Xenopus tropicalis: one gene and its partner. The protein of the gene in region 1 purifies or fractionates together with the protein of each later gene. This does not show direct contact. Links are inferred from orthologs where the notes say so. Each region holds a gene or a part of one and is shown in the gene's direction. Other genes may lie near its edges.

Region 1 (3,518 bases):
AAACTACAGCTTGAAAGTGCCCTAAATACAGGGTCGAACTGGGCCGTTGGGACACCGGGAAAAAACCTGGTGGGCCCCGATGGCCCAGACCCGACCCGACCCTTGCTGGCACTTCCCCTGCCCGACTGTTCCTCCCCTGACACGTTAAATGTATGCACGCTCAGGGTGGACGTGGGGTGGGGGCCCCTGGGGGGGTTAAAATGAGGTCTGTTACAAGTTAAAAAAATAAAAAGGAAAGACCTGCTTAGTTGCTGTTGGCAAATCCAGTTGTGCAAAATAGCATCTAAGCTAGTAAACAAGACTTTTAATATTTCCCCAGATTTGTGTTATAGGTCACTTTAAACTACAGCTTGAAAGTGCCCTAAATACAGGGTCGAACTGGGCTGCTGGGACACCTGGAAAAAACCTGGTGGGCCCCGGTGGCCCAGACCCGACCCTTGCTGGCACTTCCCCTGCCCGACTGTTCCTCCCCTGACACGTTAAATGTATGCACGCTCAGGGTGGACGTGGGGTGGGGACCCCTGGGGGGGGTTAAGGGACACGGCCGGCGGGGGCACCTGGAGGGCCCCTGGGGCAGGGGCCCCGGTGGGCCCTGCACCCTCCAGTCCGACCCTGCCCAAATAGCATAATTAAACCACAGAAATATAAAGTTTAATAGTAAAGAAAATTAGGGTCAAGGTAATGCCACCCATAACTTTTTCAGGTGCTTTCACTGCAGCCCATAAATTTGGTGTTAAATTGAGAAAACAATGCAACTGCATGACAAGCATTTGTTCAGGATGAACAAATATGGGGGTAGAAGTACAGCAATTTTACTATCATGTTCAGATGTTAAAAAGATAACAGGTTCTCCATCACTATATACTACAGCAGTGACAATATTGTGCTACATAGACATCCTTACTGGGGAATGAAGAAACATTTAGCTTGGGCAGTATGCCAAGGCCTTGCGAGTAGAATAGTCGTGTAGGCCTATAGCCTAATAGTGGGTTTATAGAGATTACTTCTATAATGATTAGAAGTTATAAGCCAGCCTTGCCTGCTGCCAGAAGGTTTTGCAATAGGAAAAAACATCCCATTGTATTTAAGGTAAAAACTGTTATGTGCAATTGTGAAGCAGTAAGAAGGTAATGCTAAGAACAAGCAAAAAAGAAGAAATGAGCGTGCTTCTCATATAAATAGAAGTCAAACTGACCTAGTCTTACTTTTGGTTATGAGAAATCATAAGATACGATGTCTGATAGCTAAAAGCACAAAAGAAAAAGAAAAACAGTGATCGGGTAGTATAGTGGCAACCATGGAATTCAAAATGCCTGGTAGTCCATACAATTTTTAAGAGAACATTGCCTCAGACAGCATTTTACCAGGGGTGGCAAATAGCCACATTTCTGTGTTTTTCTGGGTTATTGTGTCTCAGTTATATAACAATGTATTATCTCTAAAGTGCTCCATCCTGTACTCCAGCAATAATCCATGAAAACAAGACTTATGGTGCAACAAACTCTATACAAGTTGTAAATCATGTGGAGTGAAAATATATTGAAAAACATTACACTGTGCTCAAGATTGTTTACTGCAGGCAAAGGGAGCTTATATAATAATTTAGTCCTTTTATGGCTTTCTTTTACTAAGGTTGCAGACATCACTGAAGAGAATGGTAGATTCTTCTATGCTGTTTTTCTGTCGCTCTGGTTAGAATAGTCTCTGGCACACAGTTTGAAGGACATTCTGCATGTGCCGGTCACCTGTTACTACAGACACATTCCCTAGAGCTATTTAAAGATGCAGTTAAATTCGCCTTCAGTCCATTTTTCATAAGGGAAATGTCACCCCATAAAGGGTAATAAATTACAAATTACAGGAATCTCCCTCAGACTCTATTTTAAACAAATAATTACATTTTTTTTTTAAATTCCCTTTTCTCTGTAATAATACAACAGTACCTTGTACTTTATCCCTACTAAGCAAGAATTGAGAATGTTGAAGATTGTAAAGCATTTATGTTTATATAGTTATAGTGTGGGGAGATAGACTTAGGCCAGGTGTATTATATTGTATATAGTAATATAAACTCAACGTGCTGCAAGAGCTGTATAACTTGGTCCTTTTGCCATGTCCATTTTAAATCTTGCTTCCCAGCTCTTACTGATATATTGTTATTACAGGGGTCTTGCATCATCGAGTCAGAAAGCCAGAGAAGACAGCTGGTTGCGATCACTCTTTGTTCGTAAAGTCGATCCACGGAAGGATGCTCACTCAAACCTTCTGGCCAAAAAGGAGATCAGTAACCTGTACAAAATTCAGTGTAATTATTACCACTTCTCAGTTACTAGAGCATACATGAAGAGAAGAAAATACTTTCATACAGAAAACCTCTAAGCTGGTATTCCTAAATGTTTTTTGTGATCTACTAAACAGAGGGCAGTTCTAGTGTAGCCTTTCAGACTTTCAGTGGGATGTTTAACCATTTTGGTTAACATCTTTTTTCCTGCAATTACATAGTTATTTTATGATTAATAGAACACCCTCTTCTCATGCAGTGTATTTGGAGTATGGATAATCCCATAAGAGGCAGATATATATATTGATCTATATATTTTGATCTATATAGTTCTGGTACAGGTGCAGTGCACTTCCCTTTCAGTTGAAGGAAACTTGCTCTCAGAAAGTCCCCAAACACTACCCATGGAACCAGAGCTATAAGACTGGACTGAAGTGTGAGATGTTGGTAGAAATGTTAGTGAAGGATTTGGTGATTATTGTTTTATGTATTATGGCTTATATATACTGCAGACTCCAGTCTACCTTCAGTAGCAGTATTCTTCACTGGCATCCAGGCCACACTACAGTTAGGATGAAGGACCAAAGTCTTTAATGTGAACAGACCTTTACAAATTAGGAAAATAAGATATTTACATAGCATCTTGGTTTTATGCGGCAAATTATTTACAATCTTTATATTGCCTGAAAGAAGCTTTTATATTGTATATTGATCAAGCCACTTTCTAGTTAATATTTTCATGTATGGCATGAATGGTCTTTCCTTCTTCTTGTTAATTATTAGCAAAACTTCACTATCCTCATATAATTTTGTGTGCTTTATGCATTGATTTATGACAAATATTTGTTTTAAATTATGATATGACTCACTAATGTAACAGCACTACTGCCATATTTTCCATAATGGTACACATGGAGTTTGCACATATTTATCACCTCATTAATGAAAAACCCAGAGAACAAAAGGCCAGGAAGTCTGAAGTAGTTAGCATCAGTAAGGGTTATGTTAGCAACATTGATATTAAAGGAAGACCCACAGAGAATGACTGCAAGGAATCAGAGTGCAGTCAAGCACCTTTTTGTTTGATGTGTGGCCAGCAGTAGACATCAGGAAACAGCAAATCCTAAATAGCAAGTAAGCGTCATGTTCAACATTATGTGATGTATGTGTGATTTAATCTTTCAATATGGCTATGGCCTCACTTCTGGGTTGATTTTGACCTTTTAGTCCCATGTAG
Region 2 (3,370 bases), on another chromosome or scaffold:
GGATTCTATCCGGTGCCCACCTTTAGGCATAGTCTGCCCTGGGCCAGTAATCCTTCGCAAACACACAGCAGTTAGATTTGACTGATATAGCACAGCGTCAGGAATACACAAGCAGGCTACGGTCATGTTACTATATAACGCCTTTAGTTCCCAACTACTAAAGTTTACTTTCTGCTTTATATCCTGTGATATGGACACCTTTACTCCAGCTCTTATCGTGGGCTGTATGGGGGTAGAATGGGAAGTACTACTTGTCCTTCAGCCAGAACCCATCCAGTACGCTTAGTGCGCCAAACACGGCTCTAATGGTGCAAAAATGTTTTTCTCTTTTGTTTCAGAGGTCACAGACTATGTCATGTCCGTGCCGTTTGTCCGGCAACAAATCTACAAAACAGTGGAGAAAAAAGTGAATAAACAGACAAAGGGTCTTTACCCTGCCCCCTTGAAGATTATTGAGGTATTGTACACATTGACTGTTCATGAGTTAGTTGAGTTATTCTGCAGGTGTATATAAAATACAGCATTCCTAGCCATGTTCTCCCAAAGTTCTTCCCAAGACTTTTGCGTTTGCTTTCAGTCAATCCACTTTTTCTGTTGCTCACGTTTCCATTGTCTTTTCCATTTTCTTTTTCTCCCAGGTGGTAAGGACTGGGCTGGACCAGGGACAGGAGGCTGGCTATCTGGCCGAGGCACAGGTATGTAGGAAGCAGCCGTGTGTCGGCAGCCACTACCTCACATGCATCCAGCTAATATATTCTGTTTCCGTCATTTCCGATAGTTTGGAATCTGAATTAGAATTTCCTTTGTTTCACATAAACATTCTCTTGTCAATCCTGCAGAAATTCGGGGAGCTGGGAACGACCCCAGAGTCCAAAGCACTAATCGGGCTGTACCACGGACAGGTTATTTGTAAGAAGAATAAGTTTGGCACTCCAGAAAGACCAGTACAGTAAGTGCTGACGATAACGGCCCTTGGCACGATTAGATGTGTATTTAGTATAAAAGGGGGTCATTCAAAAGAGTTTTTGGACCTATACTGGCTAATGTCATGGCTGAGACACCTCTATTGTAATGTAATGTTTTATGTCTTGCAATCTCCTCAGGAAATTGGCTATACTTGGGGCTGGCCTTATGGGAGCTGGCATTGCTCAGGTCTCTGTGGATAAAGGGTTAAAGACCATTCTGAAGGACACGACAGTGGAAGGCTTAGGAAGAGGGCAACAACAAGTCTACAAAGGGTAAGTGTTATATGTTTAATTGTATGTTGGAATTACTATCCAATAGTAATTCCAAGACCTGGGGGTATCTGTGAAGAACTAGCAGGCGTCATGATAAAATTGATTGGTTTGATGATTATGCTTTTAAAATAAAAATACCCCATTATTTGCCGCAGGCTTAATGACAAGGTGAAGAAGAAGAGTCTGACTTCGTTTGAGAGAGACAGCATTGTCAGCAACCTGACGGGGCAGCTGGATTATAAGGGTTTCGAGACAGCCGACATGGTGATCGAGGCCGTGTTTGAGGATATCCGCATTAAACACAAAGTTCTACAGGAGGTGGAAGCTGTGAGTATCGGTAGTTTCATAGGGGTCTGTACACATTGCTGTGTGTAATAGGGCTGTTCTGCCCCCAATAAGGGGTAATTATATCTTAGTTGGGATCAAGTACAGGTACTGTTTTATTATTACAGAGAAAAGGGAATCATTTAACCATTAAATAAACCCAATAGGGCTGTTCTGCCCCCAATAAGGGGTAATTATATCTTAGTTGGGATCAAGTACAGGTACTGTTTTATTATTACAGAGAAAAGGGAATCATTTAACCATTAAATAAACCCAATAGGGCTGTTCTGCCCCCAATAAGGGGTAATTATATCTTAGTTGGGATCAAGTACAGGTACTGTTTTATTATTACAGAGAAAAGGGAATCATTTAACCATTAAATAAACCCAATAGGGCTGTTCTGCCCCCAATAAGGGGTAATTATATCTTAGTTGGGATCAAGTACAGGTACTGTTTTATTATTACAGAGAAAAGGGAATCATTTAACCATTAAATAAACCCAATAGGGCTGTTCTGCCCCCAATAAGGGGTAATTAATTGGGATCAAGTACAGGTACTGTACGTGCTGAGCAATCAGATCCTGTGCAGCCTCTGCCATAACTTGTTAGATAGAGGCCTTTCTCATGTATGTATGGGGTGTGCTAGCTGGCAGCACTTTCATTCGAGAGCAGGCAGCTTCTGTGGGGTTGCACAATGGGAACGCCCAGTGCTTGGCTGGATGCCCCGTGCCCAGAGGATCAGTAGGCTGGATATTTCTACTGTGTGTGTGACAAGTTATAGTCTGAGCCTAGTGTGATTATGCAATATATGTATATATCTAATCTCCCCCTAGATCTGTAAAACCATGTCTCTTGCTTTCCGCAGGTTGTCCCCCCACACTGTATATTTGCCAGCAACACGTCGGCCCTCCCCATCTCTCAGATAGCAGCCGCCAGCAAAAGGCCAGAAAAAGTGAGTACAAGGCGGATATCCAATCATTTCATTACTGGGGTTTCTGCTTCTGTGACAGCGGCAAAGCCTTTACCCTTTAGGTGCTGGTTTAATGATGAAGATTTGATCCGCAGAGAGAGCAGAGTGTGTAACCACAGAGCTGTGCCCAGACCTTATATATTATATCTGTGTAGGTGATCGGGATGCACTATTTCTCCCCTGTGGATAAGATGCAGCTGCTGGAAATAATCACTACTGACAAAACCTCTAAGGACACCACCGCTGCCGCTGTCGCTGTCGGCCTCAAGCAGGGCAAGGTGATCATTGTGGTAAAGGTAAGTACACGAGTCCCGGGATTGGTCGGTGCTGGGTTTGTCATGGGAACCATAGGGAGCCCCTCTGTGCCCGTGGTTACCTGGATTTGTTTAATTTTATTTTCCTATATGGATCTAACTAAGCTGTTTATTGGGTATTTTTGCTTCGAGAAAGACGTAAGGATTATGGTTAATTTTTTTTATGGCTTAATAGGACGGGCCAGGATTCTACACTACCCGCTGCCTTGGTCCCATGATGGCTGAAGTTGTCCGTGTCCTGCAGGTAATGGAACAAGGAAATATCATTTTGCTTTTAATTACAGGTTAATTATACAAGCAGAAGTTAAAGGGGTGGTTATGTTATAGAATGCCCATTTCTAAGCAACTTTTCAATTGGTCCTCATTTTTATTTTTCATAGTTTTTAATTATTTGCCTTTTTCTTCTAACTCAAATGGGGGTCACTGACCCCGGCAAACAAAACTATTGCTCTGTGAGGCTCCAGTTTTATTGTCATTGTTACTTTATATTGCTTATTGTTCTGTTCAGTCCCTCTCCTATTCATA

Evidence for each region. Proteins that work in one complex are often made in the same cells at the same time.
Region 2: the proteins of nipsnap2 (region 1) and hadha purify together in Homo sapiens (affinity purification with mass spectrometry; 3 studies listed by BioGRID and IntAct, with this or other methods). This does not show direct contact. The link is inferred for Xenopus tropicalis from reciprocal best matches to the Homo sapiens genes NIPSNAP2 and HADHA.

Annotation. Positions count from the first base shown.
Region 1 is NC_030678.2:98,148,819-98,152,336, reverse strand, and holds part of nipsnap2 (protein NipSnap homolog 2), read left to right. Parts: intron 1-2,165; coding exon 2,166-2,305; intron 2,306-3,518. UniProt on the Homo sapiens protein: Protein involved in mitophagy by facilitating recruitment of the autophagy machinery required for clearance of damaged mitochondria.
Region 2 is NC_030681.2:154,386,897-154,390,266, reverse strand, and holds part of hadha (trifunctional enzyme subunit alpha, mitochondrial), read left to right. Parts: intron 1-338; coding exon 339-457; intron 458-638; coding exon 639-695; intron 696-839; coding exon 840-949; intron 950-1,103; coding exon 1,104-1,238; intron 1,239-1,393; coding exon 1,394-1,565; intron 1,566-2,426; coding exon 2,427-2,513; intron 2,514-2,686; coding exon 2,687-2,827; intron 2,828-3,020; coding exon 3,021-3,089; intron 3,090-3,370. UniProt on the Homo sapiens protein: Mitochondrial trifunctional enzyme catalyzes the last three of the four reactions of the mitochondrial beta-oxidation pathway.